4 linked regions of the Xenopus tropicalis genome follow. The protein of the gene in region 4 purifies or fractionates together with the protein of the main gene of each other region. This does not show direct contact. Links are inferred from orthologs where the notes say so. Each region holds a gene or a part of one and is shown on either strand. Other genes may lie near its edges.

Region 1 (5,860 bases), on a different chromosome or scaffold from region 4:
AATTATTGTCAGTAGTATTCTACACTACCACATTGCCCTCTCTTATGGTTTTATCAGGGGTGTTTCATGGTGGTTCCCGTGATGCAACCCCCCTCTGCAATTGCGCTCTTGCACTAGCAGAGCTGAATTTCCATTTTGAAAAACGGAAATTCGGCTCTTACGGTTACTGTCCCTGGTAACTTTGGGGGCACTGCCACCTGAGACAAGATTCTCATACGTATGCATATGCTTTCTGACAATATGTGCTTTTTTTGTTTGTTTTCTTTCCCCCTTACCCTTTTGATCTCTCTCTTCCTGGACCCCACCTATTGAGTCACTACCCCCTCCTTTTTCCCCAAAAACTTGCTCTTTACTGTTCCACCCCTGTTTTTCAGTTTCTGTTGTTGTTACTCTCTATTTTATATATTTTTTTAAATATATTCTCTTTCCACTCTCACCTTCTTGAGTTTGTTCTCAGTTTCCTCAGCATCATATGTTATTTTGTGCTATCCCTCATGATAAAAAAAGGTGAGCATATGAATAGGCTGTTTATGTAAAACCACATTTTGTGGCTCCCACATTCTGATGAGAAATCACTGCACTGATGAGCCCCAATAAAGCTGAAGCCAGTCTATAGCTGAAATATGATAAGCAGCTGCCCTGGCTCTGTTTAAAACCCAGTGGATGAACTTCAGCCTATAGGACATACAGTGATTTCCTTGATGAGTCCTCCATGAGTCTAATTCAGTATAGTTTATACAAATTCCTTTTACAGAAGTTTTTAGCAGGAGAAAAGAGTTCATTCTATTTAGACATTTATATAAAATGGATGTAAATTAGGCATAGTTGACAACATCCTATTTTTATTTTTAACTGTATTATGAAAAAAAAGTTTGCTATGTTAATCATCCCAGTGGAAGTAGATTTTAGCTGGTGTGATACATTTTTACTAAATAATTGTATGATATAGTTTCCTTTAGCAACTTGTTATTTTACTCTAGCTCCTAATTTATAGTCCAAAGCTAAAATCTCAAGAACAAAAAAGGTAAAGTAGGATAAGCTAAGGATTTTTAACATAGCTGTGTCCAGTACATCATATAAAACATGCATGTGTTTCACACAATGGTTGGACCATACAAGAGTGGCAAGTTTATAGCTGAAAAAGATAACGTCCACAAAAACTCCTCAGCTGCCCCACATATCCTACTTACCCTTTAGGGCTTATACATGACACTTAAAAGTAAAGATGCTCTTGGTATCATAAATAAAGAGAGAAGCAGAGAAGGCCTTCATGTTATACACAGAGACTGTACCATTTGAAGAGGTATCAGCGTAAAAGCTTCATTTGTAGCAAGCCGTGGGGATTATTATTTTCTCACACATAGATGGAGCTTTGAATAATTATGAAGGACATACTGAAAAAAAGTCTCAAGTAATTTAATTGCAAAACAGTTTTAGACATCAGTGTTTAAGCTTTTGTTTTCTGTGTTTGCTTTGCTGGCCTTGGGAGTCTGTTTTCTTTTTGTTGCGATTCTTGTTTTTGACATTATGAGTTTCATAATACCGCACACCAACTTTCTTAGAGTGCTGCTGGCGCTCTTGCCTTCTCCTCTGCAAAGTAAAGGAAAAAAGGTTAACGAAAAAAGAAATACATTTAAATCACATGTACATATCTCTCAGTGTTAGAAAGATGGCAACTTGCACATGTTAACAACAGGACTCTTCCTTATTCTTTTGCAAACAATTAATCCTCTTGGCAGCTTTCTCCTCTCTGGCTCACTCGCCCATCACTCCATATCTCTATACCCAGGAATCAGGCAAGTTTCTTAATTTTAATACAAATAAAACAAAAATAAGACTTTTAAACATCAAGGCAAAAAGGTAGACAACCCCTTTTGTGCATGTATAACTGTACTGCCTTCATTTACATAAGAGCCACTCCTCCTAATCATTGGAACTGGCCAATTAAGCCACACTCATCATTGTCAAAACTGGTGACACTACATGTTCTAAAGTTAACCCAGTTAGCCTAGAGTCCAGATCTCAATCCAAAACAGCGATTCTGAACCTGGAATTGAAAAAGGCCTATTAATTCACAATCCCCATGCTACCTGACAGAGCTTGAGCAGCCGCACAGAGAAATGTTAAAAAAAAAAAAAAAAAATGCACATGTGTAAGGCTGATAGAGACCTATCCACACAGGCTTAATGTTGTAATTGCTGCCAAAGATGTATAGGGGTGTATACTACAATTAATATGTTTTTATTTTAATTAAGTTAAATCAGTTCACATAGTTCTTTTTTCACTTTGACGTGAAAGTATCTTAAATCAGCTAATTGGTGTCAAAAAGACAAGATAAAATTCTGTGATTTCTAAGACAAAAAACACATAAAAAGTGTCAAGGGGCAAATAGTTTTTATAGCCACTGTGAATCTGAAAAAAAAAAAAAATCTATCTGCTGTCTAGATGCATGTAGTACTATAAATGAAATGCATTTATCAAATATATTGTGCAATAGGATTGGTGATTTACTTACAAAGCTGCTGGCATTTGCCTTACAGTTGTATATAACCATGCACCAATCTATATGTGTACATCCAGTTTTACTCCATGTCATTTATATTGCTTAATCTTAAAAACAAATTAACAAACCTCTTTTGATGAAAGTTTCTTTTGTGGCTGTTCACTATCTTCTTCATCGGCATCACATTGTTTTCTTTTCTTTCCTTTTCCTGAAATACATTATGAATTTAACTTAAAAATAACAACTTATAAACATGATGTTAGTGTTGCATAGGTCAGGCAGGATCAGGCCAGCAGATTGCAGTTAGCTCAATCCAATTCTCCCCTCCTTTTGGGGGCTATCACATAATTGTATACCCAAGCTTGCCTGGCATGCCCCCTCCAGTGATGTCTTACAAGGAAAGGCATAAAAATCAGAATAGTGCACTGGGTTAGGTGGGTCTTGGGTCGGGAGAGGGTGGGTTACAGTCAGATGAGGGTTTACTTTTTGTTCGTTGAACCGAGCATCACTACACATTGTATTTAACGGATAGCTACACCAGGGTCCTATATTTCCCAAACACAGATTTCACACTTTTGTGCCAGAGGTGACATATACAACTGGCTAGCAAAAGTGGTCAATGGGTTTATATGATACTGAAGGTTCCTATATGTATTTAGTAAAGAACTTTTAATCACAAGAGAGGGTTACATGCAAACAGTGCACAGCCTATGAGGTATTCTGTCAGCTAGTGGGGGCAGATACGACAGCCTCCTTGTTAGACTACAGCTCTGTTTAACTGGAGTTTATCATCAATATGATGCTTACAATGGCCCATTTGAAGGTAGGAAAGATGATGAGAATAATAATAATGTGGGCAGTAAACATAGGCAATGAATGCGTAAGTGGGATCGAGTTTACATTAATACCTTTATCTTGTTGGTCCTCACTTGGTTTTGTAAACAGGTTTTCTGTCAGATGCTTAGGAATTCTACAAAGAAAAAAATCCCATTTATTAAAAGTGCTTAAACAGAGTAGGCAATGGTAAAATTCTGTAACCACTATTGGTAATATAACTTCTATCTATTTTTATAAGCTAGACAATAGCTTCCCACAAATGCCCACAATTTACAAGGAAACTGTATAGACACTTTACTTCTTAAGTACATAGTCTGTTTCTGTTACTAATAAAGTTCAAGCAATCTTGATGGTCAAGTTATCATTAAACCTATGTCATTCTTTTTTATTCGGCCTGCGTACACAAGCGAGTGTGCAAACAGTTCATATTCTCCAGTATAAACTTAGTTACTTATATGTTAACCATCTGTAATTTCACATTATTCAACTATGATTTATCACTTATTTATGATAGGAATGAAGAAACAGGTGAAGTTAAAGGTAAAGAAAGTGACGCACACACAGTACATTTACAAAATGTACTACACTTCATTCAACACCTATCACACTATCAACGCCATTTTATACCCATTTATAAGACCCATTTAGCAGCATTTTATTCTTATTGATGACATACAGAGCTTTTGGAAGCAAATATTTTGTTGCCAGAATTTCATCTCGAACGTATTGCTAGACATATGAAAGCAGACTGGATCAATTTAACTAACCTAAGTGATCCTTTAACTTTATTGTCATACATTTTGTAGAATGTGTTCTAAAAACCTGCATGATTAACTTTGCAAAATCTTTGTCTTTGTCAGGATTAAAGGTTTAAAAAAAAAAAAAAAAAATCTTATTTTCCCTGTGCCTTAAAAGACATTGTTCTCATTTCCTGCTGAAATGAACAACATGTTCCATACTTTCCTCACCAGTGTTAATATCTTAATTACACTTTTCATATAACGTGGATTAAATAAAAAGTGCCAACACAACAATATTTCATTAGCGAATCTTGCAAAGCAGATCCAGTGGCAAGTATCCCAAACCATCACATGTGGCACAGATTTTATTCTCTTGCACAACAAGTGCTAACGAGACAATGTTACGTACCCATTTGAAAACTGGAAAGTCTTCAATCAAAGAACATTCAGTGAATCATTAGATTTAATAAGTGAGCACTTTTCAAATCCCTTAGAGATGGTCTAGGTCTTAAAAAAACATCTCCAGATTCCCAATACAGAGAAGTCCCAGCAAGACCTTTCCATACAGCCAGGCTGTGATGTTACATGAGAGAATGCTGGTGAATTAATTATGGTATCTTGGGAGAAAGAATAGCGAATATCACCCAATACCATTCCAGGAAGATTACCGGACTAGTGAAGCTGTTGAAGTGCCAAGATTAAACCAGCTGCAAACTAAGACTTCGCAGTTGTAGGTTCACTCAATAGAAAAGCAGTGGAGATTAAGACTTGGACTGGGTGATTGATGTATATTGAAGTGAATAAGTAGTTTTTAAAGCTTTATGTAATGAACATACACAGAAAGAATAATGTCTAATATTTCCATTGGATACAAGAAAACCAAGTCAATAGGGCAGGTATGGGCTCCCCCAACAATTATTCCAGTGCAGCTGCAGTTTATTCTTGCTGCTTTCATTTGACATGAAGAATGGTATGGCAGCTAAGTGCTATTATTATGCTAAGCTATTATATACAAAGCCCACAACTTAAGACTTATTATTCTAGTTATTATCTCCCTAAACCTGTTCTCTATTTCAGAAAGACTCATACTTTACCTTAAAGCAGAAAATCTTTTGGCTTTGGCTTTGTCTAGGAATTTTTTGTACTTTGCAATCCGATCATCTAACTCTTTTACCAGTGCTTTAGAACTTCTGTCTTTGGTGCTTGAATCCTTTGTTTCACCCATTAGCATATCACTGCTTTCCTCTTCTGTTTCTTCTTCTGCAGAGTCCTCTTCTTCAGACTCAACATCAGAGATATCTGGGATTCCTTCAATAGGTACTAAATCTTCCTCTGAGAATTCTGGTGCCACGCTGATCTTGCCAAAGTTTTGTCGTACATGGGACATGAGATCTTTGATCTGATTTCTGTCTGGATTTTCTTGAGAAGCTTCTGTTGTATCATTTTCCTCTGACTGCTCCTTAGTAACACTACTGGTATCTGCAGGAGTAGCCAATGCCTGTGCTGTCTGTAAATTACAAAAACAGTTATTGTTTTTTCACATGTAAATATTTGATTCGCTTAGGCTAACCATAAAAGATTACTGCCAGGATAAAGCTTTAAACATAAGTGAAAAAAATCTTGTTAAAAAAATATTTTAAAAACACAAGCATCATTCAGAACATCTGCTTGTACTGAAGTAACAAAGTAACTTTGGTTCAAAAAAGACACAACCAACCAAGTTTCTACATTCTGGACTAAATAAAATCTGCCTGTCAGCTGATCGAGAGTAAGGCAATAG
Region 2 (6,660 bases), about 77 Mb from region 4:
GCCAGACGTCAGTATTAGGCCCAGAGAGAATGCTGGGAGGCAGGGATGCCTGCAGTTCACCCTTATTCTTCCTGCTCTCCCTGCACCCTGTATCGCTGCCGCCCTTTTCTCCCACCCACCTTCATTTTCCTCTCTTTGGTCTCCTCCCTCTTAGTCTTCCTCCGGTCGTCCTTGCGTCTCACCGACTGTGCGATGGTTCTGGGGAAAGTCTTAACCTGGGAACAGAGAGAGAAAACTATCAGAGCCCCAGAATCCCATGGCAACGGGGATGGGGGGGTCCCCCAAGCAGCCCCGCAGCTGCTCATTCCATCTTAAAATACAGACAGACAGATGGGTCACATGAGCACTCAGCCAATCACAAATGCTCAGGTCTGTCGCTCAAACTGTATAACTAACCAAATCAGAATCCGGCTCCTCAAATCTAAAATTGTATTTTCTCTCAAAATCTTCTTGTTTCTTCAGGAAAAGTTCCCCCTCGTCCTCTGAATCTGACACATGTGGGGCCTCTTCTAGGGCTGGGGGGCTACGCAGGGAGAAGGGGGCAAGTTAATCAATATTATATACTTATATTATGTATTTAGATGTATAATGATATAAACCTTACCATTCCTCATCCTCCTCAGAGTCCTCCTTCTCCTCCAGATACTCCTTGTTGAGTATATAATCCCGCAGGAATTTCTCCCCCTCATCCAGAGCCGGGTCAGACCAATATTCCTTTAGGAACCCCTAATGGAACAGAAAGGAAAGTTGCAGTGAGTGAAACCATTTCAGGATGACAGAGAGGACATTATTATTATTATGAAGCATTATCCCAGCCACTCACCATCTCCTTTACTTCCCCTTTATCATGGATTTCCTTCTGGCCCTTCAGCCAGGCAATGTATTCCTCTTCCTCCTCCTCCTGTAACAACCAAACATTACATGTTAATGGGCCCCACATTAAGCACGGGGTAAAGATGGCTGTACTTAGGATAGCTTAGGCATTGTGAGAAATTCCTATTGGCCAATAGGCTTGCAGCCTCACCTACACACAGACCAATAGTCAGACAATCCAGCTGAACTACTGAGATAAATAAACAGCAATAGGCAGGACACTAATGGAAGGCTGGGGAGAGAGAGTTCCTTAACCACCACCAACCTGCTCCTTCTTGGTCTTTATTCGTCTCGTCAATAAATTCCCCGCCGTTCCCTCTCCGTCCTCGTTGTCACTGTCCTCCACAAACGTCCGGAAGCTGCAAAGGAACCATAGAATTGAGGGTTAAATGTGTCCCCTTCAGAAGCGCCAGTGACCAACTCCTGCAGAACGGCACCCAGAAAACCACATACAGACACATTATCGCCCAGGGAGCCGATTGGAAGCGGTGCCTTTGGGCGGCATCCAATCAGTGCTTAGCAATAGCCCAGCTGATTGGTTGCTTAGAACATCCCCTGAGCGCGAGAAGCCTTCATTCCATTTGTACCAGACTCACCTCTCTCTGATTTGCTTCTGTTCTTCCAGGTACGTGGGGGAGCGGGCTCTCTGCAAAACAGGAAGTCATTACCTGACCATGTGATCCTATGTGTCCATATAATGGCTTCCCCCACATTCATGCATTTCCCAGCCCACGTACAGCAGGATGCAGCCTCACTATGGTGTTTTTATGGCTACAAAAACAATGTTCTCACCTGATCCTGCAGATCATCATCTTCCTCTGAATCTTCCTCATCCTCATATTTGCTTAAAGGGAAAACAAACCATTACTTGTGTATCCTATCTTTTTTTATTCTGCCTTTCTGCCATACAGCCACCTACAGAGGGCAGTTAGTGAGGCAGGACATATGGCCTCGGAACAGCAGAGGGTGGCATTGCTTTCAGGGCACACTTTGTTTATCTGCCGAACAACCCCAATCCCATGGCCGTGCCACCCCACCTTTGGGCGCTTGTTACACATAAAGCACAGGATGTAACAGGTTTTACCCAATAGGAGGGGCGGCAGTGGCTCTCGGGGAGTCGTACTTTGCAGCACTGGCGGCTCTGCTTACCCCTCCTTCTCTAGGATGACTTGGCGCTCATAGTCCTTCAGGTACATGGGCTTCTCTTTGGCCGCTTTACTCTGGCCTGAGGCAGACTCTCCTAAAAAATAACAGACAGGGGTAAATAACATGAAAGAAGTGAGGGCTGGGTTTATCTGAAACTCCATCATTTCCCAGACAGGCGGAGCCACACTCAGCGGTGATCCAACAACATGCGACAGTCCTCACCTTCTCCTGTAATGCAATGTATGACCCCCCCTATAATAATCCCTCTAATTTAGTGTGTGTTTGTGTGCGTTACCTTCATTGCTGTAAAATGTGACATCTTCTTGGTAGATTCTGGGATCCTTCCTCTTCAGCAGTGACAGCGTGCGATAGAACTCCTTGTCCAGCTTGGGATCAATTACCTGGAAATCAAATATGTCTGTAAATAACACATTGTATACTGTTCTACATAACAAAGGAACTACCAGGCCCAGCGTAACGAGTATAACATTGTGTTATGTAGTCCCTCCCACTGCAGGGTGATACAGTGACACAGACAGGAGGGAGCTATGGGACACGGAGTCTGTCCCTCCCACTGCAGGGTGATACAGTGACACAGACAGGAGGGGGCTATGGGACACGGAGTCTGCCCCTCCCACTGCAGGGTGATACAGTGACACAGACAGGAGGGGGCTATGGGACACGGAGTCTGCCCCTCCCACTGCAGGGTGATACAGTGACACAGACAGGAGGGGGCTATGGGACACGGAGTCTGTCCCTCCCACTGCAGGGTGATACAGTGACACAGACAGGAGGGGGCTATGGGACACTGAGTCTGTCCCTCCCACTGCAGGGTGATACAGTGACACAGACAGGAGGGGGCTATGGGACACGGAGTCTGTCCCTCCCACTGCAGGGTGATACAGTGACACAGACAGGAGGGGGCTATGGGACATGGAGTCTGCCCCTCCCACTGCAGGGTGATACAGTGACACAGACAGGAGGGAGCTATGGGACATGGAGTCTGCCCCTCCCACTGCAGGGTGATACAGTGACACAGACAGGAGGGGGCTATGGGACACGGAGTCTGCCCCTCCCACTGCAGGGTGATACAGTGATACAGACAGGAGGGAGCTATGGGACATGGAGTCTGCCCCTCCCACTGCAGGGTGATACAGTGACACAGACAGGAGGGAGCTATGGGACATTGAGTCTGCCCATCCCACTGCAGGGTGACACAGTGACACAGACAGGAGGGGGCTATGGGACACGGAGTCTGCCCCTCCCACTGCAGGGTGATACAGTGACACAGACAGGAGGGAGCTATGGGACACTGAGTCTGCCCCTCCCACTGCAGGGTGATACAGTGATACAGACAGGAGGGAGCTATGGGACATGGAGTCTGTCCCTCCCACTGCAGGGTGATACAGTGACACAGACAGGAGGGGGCTATGGGACACGGAGTCTGCCCCTCCCACTGCAGGGTGATACAGACAGGAGGGGGCTATGGGACACGGAGTCTGTCCCTCCCACTGCAGGGTGATACAGTGACACAGACAGGAGGGGGCTATGGGACATGGAGTCTGCCCCTCCCACTGCAGGGTGATACACACATGACAAGTAATGATGAATAAGACTGTATTTACCATCTCTTCATCTTCAGACTCGGAGCTGGAGGTGCCCTCCTCTTCCTCTGGCAGGTCCCCATATCGGTCTTTGACTGCACAGAAGGGAACAGATTAGCAGACATATTAATACCTCAATTAAATCATAACTGACTGCAATTCCTATCCCAAACACAATGCCATACAGTTACAAGACTACAATTCCCAGCATGCCCTGACAGCTGCAGAGAAGCACTGAGAGGAACAGGGGGATCAGAGCGCACTGCAGCCTATAAGCAGATACTGATCTTACCAACTGGGTCATTTGTGTTCTGACAGATGATTATGGGTAATATGATTGGCCACAGGAATGTTTAATACCCAGAATCCCCCAAGCCTTAGCTATTTCAAGTCATAGGACCATCAGGGACCATTACCCACTGAAACTGTCTATACTACAACTCCCAGCATTCTCAGCGGCCACACAAATCTATCATTCAAGCGTTAACTGAACTCTCCGAACCCCCCGTAACCCAGAGCGGATAAGTTCGGGCGACTCACGGCGCTGCAGCTCTTCTTTCTCACGGTAGCGATCGTATCTCTCTGCGAACTTGCGGTTTATCTTCAGTTCAGCCATGCTGAGCCCCAGCCCGGAAACACGTGAGCAGGAAGTCGCCTCAATGCGTCAGTGTGGCACGCAGTAACAGCCAATCCGCTAACAGCGTGGGCGGGGTTTGAAACAGGGGGAGGGTCTTGCGTTCCAAATAGGGGAGGGTCTTGCGTTCCACAGTGTGTACAGCCCTTTATGGTGGGATTTATATACATTCCCTCAAGTGTTCAACTAATCTGGTCTGGTGAAATTACTCTCTTAGTAGAACAGAGCTCAGAATGTCCCCAGCCCCCTGGCAGCAGTAACATAAGCACCCCAGCAGCACAAATGCACAAATGCACAAGGCCTGTGGGCCTTCATTTTTATTACTGGCAGTTTTTTTAATTATTCTACTATTTGTTCTGCAGCCCTCCAGTTTGGAATTTCAGCCTTTATCTGGTTGCTAGGGTGTCTAATTTACCTTAGTAACGGAGTGATTTGAGAAAGTGGCTTATATATGAATAGTAGAGGGGCTGAATAGAAATAATAATAGTAATAAAAAGTAACAATAACAATTGTAAGCTCTATGGGGCAGGGACCTCCTTCCTTCTTTGTCTCATACCACATGGCACTTATATATATATATATATATTTATTATATCACTTGTCCTCCCTGTGTGTAATTTTGAATTCTGTGAGATTGTACAGCGCTGCGTACCCTTGTGGCGCTTTATAAATAAAGTTATACATACATAAAATTGTAGCCTCACAGAGCAATAGGTTTTTGGCTGTTGGGGTCAGTGACCCCCCATTTGAAAACTGGTCAAAACAAGGCTAATAATTTAAAAATGATAAAAAATAAAGACCAACTGAAAAGCTGCATAAAATAAGTAACCCTATAGCTTATTAAAAGTTAAATTAAAGGTGAACTACCCCTTTAAATGGCTTACGTTTCTTTACTAAATTCAGCCAGCAGGTGGCGATCTACGTGCTGCTAAAGTGCAAGTGGGTTGAGTGGGTTGAGAACTTGGGCGCCCAAAAAACTTTTAAAAAGCAGCACGCTCATTAAAATTGTTTAACGTTAAACAAAGCTATTTTGGCGATGTCGTTAAGCCCATTTTATAAGGAAAAAAAATAAATCTAATGACCTTAAGCAATTAGTGCAGGTTTTAGTGAAAGCCGCGGAGAAGGTTGGGGATTAGTAAATAAAGGGAGGGATACATTATTCAGACAATACACAACGCGCGGATAATCTGTTGTTATTCTGGGGAATTTCCAATGTGGCTATACAATGCCATAGAAAGTATTAGCTCCCCCCCTCGTAGTCTTAAGAAGTAAATCTCCGGCAAGAATGTAAGGATCAGGTGTTTGGCCACTGATGAAAAGGGCTACAGCCCCCATTTATTATTGTTATTACTGATTTTAACCCCATTACACGGTTGCACAATATAAGGACTATGACAGTGTGATCATATGTTGCCCACAGTGTGCTGGGCCGACTCAGCAGCTTATTGGGTTGTATGTGGGGCTTCCTGACCAATATTGGCCAGGTTAGGAATGTGTCTCAAACCTTTCTCCTTGTAGATTGTAAGCTCTTTTGGGCAGGGCTCTCTTCTCTCTTGTATCGGTTATTGATTGCTTTATATGTTACTCTGTATGTCCAATGTATGAAACCCACTTATTGTACAGCGCTGCGGGATATGTTGGCGCTTTATAAATAAATGTTAATAATAATAATAGGAACTCCAGTCGGGGTATGATCATTTATGAGATCTCCTTTTTGATGTGAGCATTGGCCTGGGGGCTAACCTATAGAATCAGAACAGAATATCAGCAAAATCAGTGGCCTAAGGCAAATGTCCATATTGTGAGCCAAAAAAACAGATTCAGAGCACTGCATTAACCCCAGGCATGGAAGTAAGATCACTGCAGAAACTGGATTTGGGGCATTGCATTAACCCCAGGCATAGCAGTAAGAGCACTGCAGAAACTGGATTTGGGGCATTGCATTAACCCCAGGCATGGCAGTAAGAACATTGCAGAAACTGGATTTGGGGCATTGCATTAACCCCAAGCATTACAGCAAGATCAGTGCACAAACAGGATTGAGGGCATTGCATTAACCCCAGGCATGCCAGTGAGATTACTGCAGAAAACTGATTCAGGGCACTGCACTAACCCCAGCCATGCCAGTGAAATTACTGCAGAAAATGGATTTAGGGCATTGCATTAACCCCAGGCATGCCAGGGAGATCAGTGCAAAAACAGGATTCAGGGCATTCCATTAACTCTAGGCATGCCAATGAGATTACTGCAGAAAATGAATTCAGAGCATTGCATTAACCCCAGGCATGCCAGGTAGATCAGTGCACAAACAGGATTCAGGGCATTGCATTAACCCCAGGCATGCCAGTAAGAGCACTGCAGAAAATGAATTCAGAACACTGCCCCACCCGTAAGCAGAAGCAG
Region 3 (5,777 bases), on a different chromosome or scaffold from region 4:
TTAATTAAATGTAAATCCAAGTATGAAATAAATCCCAACTCTTTGCCATATATTTGCAAATGAAGTCCTTATTTGGTGGCTAAAGGGCATGGAAAGCTTAATACACTTGGGAACTGTTTTCTCTAAAAAAAAAAAAAAAGCTATGTGCTGCTATCTTACCCTGTCTTCTGGTGGATTCCTTTTACCCTACTAAATCTGGACATGAGCAGTATAATTAAAGGAAGAAGTAATATTATACTACACATATCCAAGTCTAGGAATCTGACTGAGACTGAAGAGATCTCTGGGAAAAGCTGGCGGTGCAGGCCTTAGAAAGACCAATGGGCTGATGCAGATTTATTCACTGGGGTGGATGTCTGACAAAGTGGTGCTCCCCAGAGCTATAACTTTACTACAAGTAATAATATCCATGGATTATAGCAGGGATCCCCAACCATTTTCACCTGTGAGCCACACTCAAATGTAAAAAGAGTTGGGGAGCAACATAAACATGAAAAATGTTCATGAGGGTGCCAAATAAGAGCTGTGATTGGCTATTTGGTAGCTCCTATGTGGACTGGCAGCCTAAGCGAGGTTCTGTTTGGTAGTACACCTGGTTTTTATGCAACCAAAACTTGCCCCCAAGTCAGGAATTCAAAAATAATCACCAGCTTTGAGGCCCCTGAAAGCAACATCCAAGGGGTTGGTAAGCAACATGTTGCTCACGAGCCACTGGTTGGGGATCACTGGATTATAGGAGCTGTAGTTAACAAAAGCTGTTTTTTTTTTTTTTTTTTCTTGCCGTTTGAAATGCAACTAAATACCTCTTCCTTTGCATGCCCACAGACACATGCAGTGCAGAAGACAAGTACAAAATGTGGATGAGACATCGCTATAATAGCTGTGTGACCTGCTTGCTGAATCTTTTGCAACACAGCTCTTTTTCTGTCCAGGTCAGTTGTGTTTTATGTGAGTAAATCTGGCTTCTTGAATTTAGCAATGCAGAATTTAAACAGTTACAGATTTTCATTAAGAAGGGTGTTTTGGCTAAACATATTAAATGTATGTGAAGTTCGGTACACCTTTCATCACCTGATAGTAAAAGAGTTAACATGGAATAACTGGAGGGTTGCATGTTTGACATCCTGTTTTAGAATCCCTTTCCCTGTTCGGACTTCTGGTGGAAAGACAAAGACTTCTTCTGTGTTAAGTTATTTACACATAAGAAGTTTGGGTCTTCAGAGCTGCTTTTGCTTATTTAGTGCCTCAAGGTATTTTTGACCATATGTCTGGTAGTCTGCCCCTAAGTAAAAGAAATTTCCACCACTAAAGATTTACAGCAGGGGGCGTAATCATGACAGGGTCAGAGAGATGAGGGGTGGCATGAACCAAGTAATTATTTTCTCTGTAGACTCTCAAGTGAAGGCATGGGAAGAATGTGTTTTCTGATTGTGCTCTAGTGGGCTTTTATTTGGCAAGTGTTTTGTTTTGATTTCACTAACAAAAGGAAGTAGGGCTATTCACAGAAACCTGGCGAGGAGAGGAGTGGAGTGTTGGTCACTGCTTTTAACCAGATATCATTTGTGCTTCCTACAGGAGCTTGCCCTGTGCACACTGATGAAGTTCATCCAGCTGGAAGGAAAATTCCCTTTAGAAAATTCAGAATGGAAAGAAAGCTACCGGTTTCCTATAGAACTGTTAAAGGTAAGAGGATATTCAATGTGGAGAGTTTGCCACTGATATTTCTTCTTTTAATTACTGACTGCTGTGCATTTTAGTTTGTTATAGATAATTTGCTGCAGGAGGAAACAGACTCTACCCTGTTGATCACACGTTTCCAAGAATACTTGGAATATGACGATGTCCGCTACTATACAATGACTGCGACTAATGACTGCATTGCACGAGTACAGCAAAAGACCAAACAGGTACTGACACAAGCGGGCCAGCACTGCATTTAGTATTACTAGGGCTTTCAATGATTTGGAGCAGTTTTCGGACCTGGGATATGGGATACTGCAATGCATTTTCTAGGAGCATGTGTGGGAAAAGATAAATCCCTACAGTTGCTGCAGATTATCTCTGGCTGAATTTCATATTGTACTTAACCTTGCTGGCACTCAGGTCCATTTTGATCTAGCTTAGTATTAAGGCAGTGCATATGGCATTATACCAATAATTTTGCCATTTCACAGTTTCATAGCTTGTTGTTTATCAGTTTCAGGAGCAGTGACCAAGGCCATATGCTGTTGCTTTTGGTCTCCATAAGATTTCTCACAACTGATCTAATTTAAGAAAACTGATTTTTTTTTTTTCTGTTCTCAGGTCTTACCACCAGTTTTCCAAACCAATGTGTTTTGCTTACTTTCCTCAATTAACATGCCAGTTGAGCAGAGTTCTTTGGAAAATTTCCTAGTAACCAAAAATGGTAAGCACGTCTCACACATTTCCTCTGACATCTGTAAATTGCTTGTTACAATGCTATTTTCCAATTGCTTTGTGCTTCAAGCCATGCCTCATGGTTTCTTGCAAGAGGATTATGATGCTGCAGGAGAGCTGTGTGTGTCTTCCACAAATGAACTGTCAGCAGTGGAAAGTTGGCAGTGCATGCATAGAAGCTTACCAGATGAAGCAACAGGGGGATCATTTTTATTAACCTTTGTAATTGTGTTGTAACCCTAGAAATATTTAAGAAAATTTAATTCTTAGCACTTTTCCAATATACTTTCATTACAGATTCTCAGTAGCTACAATTAGAAATAACAGAAAACATATTTTTTTTATGATTAAAACAATAGTAAAAGTATGTACAGCACAAGCCCTATTCATTGTGATCTTCTTGAAAAGGGGGTATACTGCTCCTTTAAAACAAAGTTAATCAGCTAGCTTCTGCTACATTGTTTCAAAAGTCATAATTACCAGGGTATGCAATAGCAATATTTAGACAGCTTTTAATAGCAGTTATATTTTCAAATAACTTTAAAACCATTGAAAAGTTGTAGTTAATGTATTATGGGGAGTTGATACTAATATTTTCTACTAGGCCAGAAACACTCCTGTAGTTCTGTATACAATGAAAGCATATTGCCACAGAAATATGGCTGTCTTGTAATCCTTACTGCAATTCTCGTTAAAGTTGCATTAATCTCAAGTATGTTTCAGTTATTTGAACATATAACTCCCGTGAAATTCGTTCCATGTATCGTCAAACTGCAATGACAATTGATAACGCCATTACTCCTGCAGCTGAAATACTGGAGCAAATGCAACCCTTTTCGAGGGACAGATTTTACAGCTCGCACAGCCAAATCTCCCTTAAAAACAATAACCCCCAAAACCCAAGAAATACTTCTTTATTCTCAAAATGACCAGATGCATGGTTTTTCCTCCTCATCACTGCTAGTGATTAAACTTCTGGGAGTTGATTGAATCTTATGTTCATAAAACCACGTTTTTATAGTGTGGAGATATTTTTATAGTGTTGCAAGAAACGAGCACTGGAAAAACTAGTCCATGTAATATGTGCACATATCGGAATAAAATCCAGAATTCCAGCAATGCTACCAAGTAAGCTATCAATACATCCTAGGCCTCCACTGTTTTTGCCCAAGCTCAGCAGGGGTCAAAATGTTCTGCCAGCCATCAGCATTAGGCTTTATGGAGTTGCTAACATTTGTCTCCACCTGCTTTCTGTTACATTTGCCCTAGAGAGTATTTTAGAATGTTTCCAAAATTACTTTGCAACAGCAGGAATCAGGACATATGCAGCTTAATATTGTGTGAAGATACAGGCAGAACTAAAAAATGTAAATATAATCTAAGAATAAGTTAAAGTACCAAGGGTATGTAATTCTTTTTTTTTTTTTTTTTCCCCGCAGCAAATCATGAAGACTGGAAACCGACAAAATTAAAGGTAGCTGTACATTGCATTGAATGTTTGAGACATCCTGGAGGCATTCTTATTGCTGTTAACGTCATTATATTTTTTTTTTCTTTCTTTAGGAGCATAAAAGAGTATTTGAAAGGGTCTGGATGAGCTTCCTGAAGCACCAAGTGAGTGCAGTATACACCTTTGCCAATGCTGACTCTCAGATTTGATTATAATGAGCCAATTGGTTTCATCCCTTATAAAGCCTGTTTGATCATTGTCTTTACAACTATGATTTCCAACAAATTGCATCAAGTATTCCTGTTTTGTTTAATTCCAGCTTTCAGTCAGTCTGTACAAGAAGGTGCTTTTGATCTTGCATGAAAGTATCTTGCCACATATGAGCAAACCAACCCTAATGATAGACTTCCTAACTGCTGCATATGATGTTGGTAAGTGACACTAAGGGGTACATTTACTAATCCACGAATCCGAATCACGAATGGGAAAAATCGTATTGGAAACGAAAATTTCGGAAGATCGCAAATATCACGAAAATGCTTACGTAAAAATCGTATTAGTCACGATAATATCGTATTGGCGATCCGAAAGTCACGAAATTTTCATACCGAACAATTGTAAACAACGGTAAAACCTTTCCGATTTTTTCGTGCAAACGTCCGAAAAAGTCGTGCGCCGTACGAAAAAGTCATGCGGACGCCCGAAAAAATCTGCGAAAATACGCTCGGAGCGTTCGCATGAACGCTTGAGCATTCGTGCTTTTGTAAATGTGCCCCTAAGGATAATGTAATAAATCTTGAAAAATTTGCAACAAATATAGTAAACCATATTAACTTGATAACATAAACCAGTTATTAATTATCTATTTTTTTGCCAGGTGGAGCCATCAGCCTACTAGCCCTAAATGGGCTATTTATTTTGATTCATCAGCATAATCTGTAAGTTTTTAAATATTATCGTTAATGCTAACTGGTAACATTTGTTAGAATTCAATTAAATTTTGGGTCTGTAAGTGATATTCATACACTAGTATTCCAATTTGAAGCACATTAAGTTCATTGAGCTTTATGTGAGGTTTTTTTTCATTCCCCATCAGAGAATACCCAGATTTTTACAAGAAGCTTTACTCTCTCTTGGAGCCCTCTATTTTCCATGTAAAATATCGTGCTCGTTTCTTCCACCTGGCCAACCTGTTCTTGTCGTCCACGTAAGTCCAAAGACTTAAACTTTTCCATGGATTAAGCCTTACTGTAAGGTTCCCCTGCTTAATTTGTATTCTTATCACATCTCCAAGGCATTTACCAATTTACCTTGTTGCTGCATTTGCAAAGCGTCTGGCCCGGCTCACCCTGACAGCCCCTCCTCAGGTGCTTCTGATGATTATCCCATTTATCTGTAACCTGATCCGCAGGCACCCAGCTTGTCGTGCTCTTATTCATCGCCCCAACACTGGAGGTGAGTGTTCTGTCAGGCTAGGGTTTGTATTAAGGCAGTGGAAATCGTTATCTTGCTGTGTTTTCATTTAAATTTGGTCCTCAAGGCATTGAAGAACCTAGGAATTACCATATTTTTTGCATTGTGGAAAGATTACTAAATGATTTTTATTGTAGCTTTGCTTCTGCCATTAAATATCTGCCTGTACTGTTATTTACTTGCTGCAGGGGGAGACTTAATCCTGTGCATTATTTTTTATATACTTTAGTATATACTTGCAGTTTCAGTAGTTTTTAGACCTTTTGGGTTCAGGACCTCTTTGTGGTCCAGCATTTGGCCAGGTTCCTTTTTATATCATATTTTTGTTACTCATATATATTAACACTATCCTAATGCTTTCACTCCATCAACATGTATGAAGTACACACCAAATTTCAAACTAAATGGTATTTAGTCTAGTAACACACAAATTATC
Region 4 (6,334 bases):
AAATGACACAGGTATCTGTGTCAGCTATGATTGACCACCGAGAGATCCAACATGAATTGTGCAGATAAGACTCAAAGAATTTGGTAAAAACATACAGAGGAACCTTTCCCTTCAGCAAAGCAATAAAAAGACAGAGTGAGAAGCACTGTCAAATTAGCTAACTACCAAAGACATGCTGTGTAGTGTCAAAACTAAAGCATACAATAATTACTGTAAATGCATCTAACATAACAAGGCTGGGTAATGTCCATTACAGAGATAAATACACAGTAGAGATCCTATAGAAAGCACCATTAAAGGAGAAGGAAAGGCTAATAAAGCGTTAACCTCAAGCTGCAGGCACACCTTCAGTTCTCTCAATAGTGCCCTTAAGTCTCCCCATATTTCACCTGTTCAAATGATCAGAGGCCAAACAGGAAGAAAAAACGCTGAGCTGTGTAAAGAAAGTTCCCATGCTCAGTTAGTTAGACTGTGAGTCAGCTTCCTGCTGATTGGCTCAGATCCACATTCCTAAGGGAGGGCAGGAGAGGGGAGAGAGCTGCGTGTCTCCGGCAGAGGAAGACAGACACAACAAATCTTTTGACACAAACTCAGTGCAGCATTTCTGCGAGTGCTTATGCCTGTATTTACATAGACCTTTCTGATAAAGCTTACTTAGTTTTTACCTTTCCTTCTCCTTTAAATTGATCTTAGAAAAGTAAAAAAAACAACATACCTGGCTTTCAGGTTGTGGTGGTGGAAATGGTGTATAATCTTTCTTTACACTCTTCTTTTTTGGTTCTTTTCGCTTGCTTACATTCTTATGCTTAAATTGTGGCAGAAATCTCTCCCAGCTTTTGGATCTTAATTCTGGATCCTTTGCCAGCTCACGTTTTATCATTAAAGCCTGTGGATGTTTTAAATATTTGCCAATTTACAAAAAAAAAATGGTTGCTTTACCCAACTCTTTCAATAACTTTCCTACCCCAAAAAAACTACAGATAAAAGTGGTTGTCTATTAACAGATTAGTCATTGTACCATTGACCATTATACCCAAGTGACCTGTTCATGCACATGCAAGCGTAACATCTGTCTTGCACACAGTAAAATACATTTACATACAGGTATCTATTATTGACATTTTATCCAATAATTTGTTTGCATTAGTTTGCATAAAAGGCAACTAAATCTTTCTACACTATCGTCTCCAATTATGTGAGTAGAACACAGATCAGCATCCATAAAAAACAGGGCTAGCAGACACAAGAGGACTGGCTCACAATAAATTAGACAGGATTAAACAAAAATTTCCACTCAAATACACAAAATGAAAACCTTAACACAAATGTTGACTACAAACCACATCCCTATATAGTTACCTTAATATTATATATTGGATGAATGTTCTTCATTGTATCCCAAACTACTTTTCTAACCTGCACAAGAAGAAAGATTTGTTTATTAAAATTTAATTCTTTTCTTCCTTTTATTAACCACAATAATGCAAAATCTACTCATCTTACCTCTTTTAATCCACTAAATGGCCCCAACGCAGACACTGTGTTACCCTGAACCATAATATAACAGTTTGTAAGAAGCTCCAGTGCCTGTTAGGAAATAGTAGTTTAAATAAGCATCTCCATTATTATTACACAGCATATTTTAGTTCCCAGAACTGCATACTTTAAGTACCTTTAAAGTTGATCCCTTTGGTCCCAGAAGCCGTTGTCTCCTTTTGATAAATCTTTCCCTGTTTCGAACTAAGGAGCCTATTTTAATAATGTCACAAGCCATATCATCCTGTAGTATTCTTACTGCCTAGATGGAAACAAATATCTTTGTCATTCACATCTTTTTATGTGAAATGGGCACTGAATCTGAAATTCTGTCTTTATTGTTATTATTATCTTATTACTCAGGGTCAGAATGTCAGAACTAGGGGTAGGGAGAAGAAGCACCTGCCTAGGGCATGATGATAAGGGGGCGCCAGTCAGGTACCTTCTCTTCCTACCCCTAGTCTGTGCCCTCTTGCCCCCATGTGTCACTGTGAGGAACTTTGTTTTCATTGTGCTACCTGAAACTGGCAAAAAAAAGTAATCACTGACAGGTTTGATAGTATGATCCCAAATGTCTTAATGTGTGCCCCAAGAATGTGGTAATAGTCTAGAAAAATATGTAAGATGTTTCAGACCACTTATTCTGCACTCTGACACTGCCATCCATTCATTATACCAATTAAAGGACATGGAAAGGGTTAGTAACTTAGAGATAATAATAAAAAAACAACAAAACACAAATACAAGAGTATTGTAGAAATTATACCTATATTGGCTAACAATAAAAATACATTGCAAGCTTTCGGAGCTCTAAGGCCCCTTCATCAGGCAAAATGATGATGATGATGAAGGGGCCTTAGAGCTCCGAAAGCTTGCAATGTATTTTTATTGTTAGCCAATATAGGTATTCTACAATACTCTCATATTTGTGTTTGTTGTTTTTTTATTATTATTATTTTTGACACTGGCTAACACGGTACTACAGTTTTTGTTTTGTGATTAACTTAGAGATGTAAGTGTATACAGTTGCTGATGCTGCTCTTCACTTAAAAACACAATGGTTCAGCATACTAAAATACCGAGCACCATCGTCATTTATGGTTGCTAGTATAGGGCATGCAAAAGTGCAGTAAAAAGCTCAAAGCAGCCACAATGATCACTGGGATTAGACTCAAGCAATGCTCAATAAATTAGAGCCCTGGGCTAGTATGTTTTTTCAGTGAAATGAAGCACCCGTCCAGACTATGAGTTTAGTGAACAAATTCTCCGGGGAGATTCTAACAAATTTGACCGTCTCAGTGACAATAACTCAGCAATGGTCATTGTACAAAAATATTTACATGTAACACAAACCTGCTCAAACGGAACACTTCTGGCAAGCAACTTTATCAAGTCTCTGGCTCGAACGATAACATATGGATCAAAAGTCTTCTTGGTTGTAGTGACAGTCATGCTGCCTTCAATCAAATCCAGCTCTGCTTTAACAAACTGCCACACAGAATCAGCATTAAAGTGACATAAAAACACACTGATAAAAAAAATATAAAAAGCAGTTAACAAAACCTCTTTAATGGGTTAAGTTGTAATTTTACTGTTATTTCCCAGTGTAAAAGTATAGTAGTAAGCAAACATTTTCAGGTTTGAAATGCTAGTGTAGATATACTTTGTGGTATACATGGTTAATAGGAATAAACAATCCATACACTTTCATTTAATGCCTTTTGAACTAGCGGCCAGCATTCTTTTAAGTAAGCCTCTCGATATTTGGGGAACAATGTAGCAAAACTGCTTTCTTCCAGTAATCCTCTTGGGTTATCTTCCTTTGTAAAAGGATCTTCTTTCCAGCCATCAGGGACAGTAAGAAGTTCAGATTCCTCCACTAGCAAGAAAAATAAAGACATAGCTAAAAGGATGCCGTTCTGCAACATGAACTGAGCTCTTTGACGTCTACGTTTTTATAACAACTGTATTAGCCTTGTAAAATGACTGCCTTCATATATATATATATATATATATATATATATATATATATATATATATAGGCATACAGCAGATGTGTACGGCTCCATTTTGTTTTTTCTCATCTCAGACATTAAAGCAAATATAGCGGTGTTACCAAAGAACTGAAAGCAGCACTCACCCGGCTGGGTCTGGCGTTTCTTGTTTTTGCCCTTTGCATTAGGTCCCACAGATTGCTCGGTCTCCGCCATGCTGCAGTTAGCCGGCTCCAACACGTGACATAAACACGGGAAGTGGGCAACATAAAATGCTCTCCGGCAGGAGTCCAGCTAGTTCCAATAGGTTCCGCTAACGCTTATGTTCCACGTTTTTACAGCATTTTTATGCTTGCACCACAACCTAGCCGAAGAGAAATTTATTGGATCCGGATATCAGTCTGTGGATTCTGGCAAATACCAGAAGCGCTGCTGTAAGATGCCATAGGCAGTCACTATTACACATTACATTGTGTTTATTTTATTTTTTGTCAATCTTGACCTTTTCCATGTTGCCTTCATGAAAAAAGTTATTTTTACATAAAGTTCCCTCAAAAAGGGGTGGAAATATATTCTAGGACAAGTGCATACCTCCCAACATTTGAAAAATGAAAAGAGGGACAAAAAGCAATTTTTGACCACGCCCACTTTTGTGGCCACGCCCCAATTACCACACCCCAATTTTTTAAAAAAATACTCCTTTTATATAGATGAAATGGCAGGTTCAGACGCAAATGTGCTATACCCTCATACTGTACTACCTAAGGAAAACAATATAACAACTCCTACATTAAAATACAAATATAGAGAGAAGGCAGTCAGTTATAAGTGAGTTATAACTATGTACCAGATTTGCCCAGCATACACAGGAGACCCCCCATACACAGGAGCCCCGCCACACACAGTGTCCCCCATACACAGAACCCCCATACACAGTACCCCCTATACACAGTAGCCCCCCATACACAGTAGCCCCCCCATACACAGTACCCCCTATACACAGTAGCCCCCCCATGCACAGTACCCCCTATACACAGTAGCCCCCCCATACACAGTACCCCCTATACACAGTAACCCCCCATACACAGTACCCCCTATACACAGTAGCCCCCCATACACAGTACCCCCTATACACAGTAACCCCCCATACACAGTACCCCCTATACACAGTAGCCCCCCATACACAGTACCCCCTATACACAGTAGCCCCCCCATACACAGTACCCCCTATACACAGTAGCCCCCCCATACACAGTACCCCTATACACAGTAGCCCCCCCATACACAGTACCCCCTATACACAGTAGCCCCCATACACAGTACCCCCTATACACAGTAGCCCCCCCATACACAGTGCCCCTATACACAGTAGCCCCCCCATACACAGTGCCCCATACACAGTAGCCCCCCATACACAGTAGCCCCCCATACACAGTAGCCCCCCCATACACAGTACCCCCTATACACAGTACCCCCTATACACAGTAGCCCCCCCATACACAGTACCCCCTATACACAGTAGCCCCCCCATACACAGTACCCCCTATACACAGTAGCCCTCCCATACACAGTGCCCCTATGCACAGTAGCTCCCCCATACACAGTGCCCCTATACACAGTAGCCCCCCATACACAGTACCCCCTATATACAGTAGCCCCCCATACACAGTGCCCCCTATACACAGTAGCCCCCCATACACAGTGCCCCCCCATACACAGATCCCCCCATACACAGAGCCCCCCCATACACATTACCCCCCACAGGAGCTCCTCCTTCGTCTGCGGCTCCTCTCCTTATGCGGCGGCGACAGGCCCTTTTATAAGGCTGCGCCCGTGCGTAATGACGTCACACCCACAGGCGCAACCTTATAAAAGGGCCTGTCGCGCTGCATAAGGAGTAAAGCTGCCGGGGAAGTCTGAACGTCCGGCTCCAGCCAGCGTATCCCGCTGTGCTGGATAGTTTAATGAATGTCCTGCAATGCGGGACATTCATGGAACTATCCGGGACAGCGGGATGCGCCATGAAAAGCGGGACTGTCCCGCGAAAAGCGGGCCAGTTGGTGGGTATGCAAGTGAGATATAAAAGTAGGAGTTCCACCTGCCCAGTAATTTACAGGCCCCGCAGGTAAATGAGGCTTGTTGTTTTAATCCAGAAAAGGGGGTAACACTAAGGGGCTGATTTACTAATCCACGAACGGTCCGAAGGCGTCTGAATGCGTTTTTTTCGTAATGATCGGTATTTTACGATTTTTCCATAAATTGTCGCGAATTGTAGCGTTACAACTTGCGCGAATTGTCGCGGCTTTTTCATAACCTTCGCGCCGAGTACGAAAGTTTCGGATTCATTCAAGCTTCAGTATCGTGACTTTTCTTGGGCCAGGTTGGAGCTGCAGAGTGCCATTGAGTCCTATGGGAGGCTTCCAAAATCATGCTAAGTCTGAAAGTTTTGCCCGCAGTTTACGAGCGCTCAATACGAAAAACAATTCGCGCAAGTCGTAATGGTTACGAAAAAGTCGCGACAATTTACAAAAAGTCGTAGCGACGACGAAAAAATTACAAAAAATACGAAAAAGTCGCAAAATGTTCGTTTTCCAATCAGAATTTTTCACATTCGGATTTGTGAATTAGTAAATCAGCCCCTATTTATATGTGGCCATTATGGGCGAAGACATGGAGAGATTAGTCACCGCGACTTCTGAGACAACTGACCCCATTCTTCTCTGTGGTGAAAAGTCACCGCAGTTAGTCGCAGAGACTTCCTTACATAAAAGTCAAGGTGACTAATCGTACCGTGTCTTTGCCCT

What was found.
Region 1: the proteins of krr1 (region 4) and gnl2 purify together in Homo sapiens (affinity purification with mass spectrometry; 3 studies listed by BioGRID and IntAct, with this or other methods). This does not show direct contact. The link is inferred for Xenopus tropicalis from reciprocal best matches to the Homo sapiens genes KRR1 and GNL2.
Region 2: the proteins of krr1 (region 4) and kri1 purify together in Homo sapiens (affinity purification with mass spectrometry; 3 studies listed by BioGRID and IntAct, with this or other methods). This does not show direct contact. The link is inferred for Xenopus tropicalis from reciprocal best matches to the Homo sapiens genes KRR1 and KRI1.
Region 3: the proteins of krr1 (region 4) and noc4l purify together in Homo sapiens (co-immunoprecipitation; 3 studies listed by BioGRID and IntAct, with this or other methods). This does not show direct contact. The link is inferred for Xenopus tropicalis from reciprocal best matches to the Homo sapiens genes KRR1 and NOC4L.

The regions. Positions count from the first base shown.
Region 1 is NC_030678.2:84,698,934-84,704,793, forward strand, and holds the end of gnl2 (nucleolar GTP-binding protein 2), read right to left. Parts: intron 5,588-5,860; coding exon 5,175-5,587; intron 3,474-5,174; coding exon 3,412-3,473; intron 2,712-3,411; coding exon 2,632-2,711; intron 1,591-2,631; coding exon 1,441-1,590; 3' UTR 1,401-1,440; downstream 1-1,400. UniProt on the Homo sapiens protein: GTPase that associates with pre-60S ribosomal subunits in the nucleolus and is required for their nuclear export and maturation.
Region 2 is NC_030679.2:138,190,582-138,197,241, forward strand, and holds the start of kri1 (protein KRI1 homolog), read right to left. Parts: upstream 4,358-6,660; 5' UTR 4,240-4,357; coding exon 4,164-4,239; intron 3,719-4,163; coding exon 3,645-3,718; intron 2,421-3,644; coding exon 2,315-2,420; intron 2,114-2,314; coding exon 2,023-2,113; intron 1,718-2,022; coding exon 1,666-1,717; intron 1,520-1,665; coding exon 1,470-1,519; intron 1,233-1,469; coding exon 1,139-1,232; intron 902-1,138; coding exon 824-901; intron 727-823; coding exon 605-726; intron 524-604; coding exon 397-523; intron 216-396; coding exon 120-215; intron 1-119.
Region 3 is NC_030677.2:156,451,792-156,457,568, reverse strand, and holds part of noc4l (nucleolar complex protein 4 homolog), read left to right. Parts: intron 1-825; coding exon 826-932; intron 933-1,575; coding exon 1,576-1,683; intron 1,684-1,757; coding exon 1,758-1,907; intron 1,908-2,304; coding exon 2,305-2,407; intron 2,408-3,857; coding exon 3,858-3,892; intron 3,893-3,981; coding exon 3,982-4,032; intron 4,033-4,187; coding exon 4,188-4,299; intron 4,300-4,745; coding exon 4,746-4,806; intron 4,807-4,964; coding exon 4,965-5,075; coding exon of another isoform or gene 5,076-5,079; exon of another isoform or gene 5,080-5,162; coding exon 5,163-5,323; intron 5,324-5,777.
Region 4 is NC_030679.2:61,102,307-61,108,640, forward strand, and holds the start of krr1 (KRR1 small subunit processome component homolog), read right to left. Parts: upstream 3,896-6,334; 5' UTR 3,747-3,895; coding exon 3,677-3,746; intron 3,416-3,676; coding exon 3,240-3,415; intron 3,025-3,239; coding exon 2,890-3,024; intron 1,799-2,889; coding exon 1,673-1,798; intron 1,588-1,672; coding exon 1,504-1,587; intron 1,417-1,503; coding exon 1,360-1,416; intron 887-1,359; coding exon 716-886; intron 1-715. UniProt on the Homo sapiens protein: Part of the small subunit (SSU) processome, first precursor of the small eukaryotic ribosomal subunit.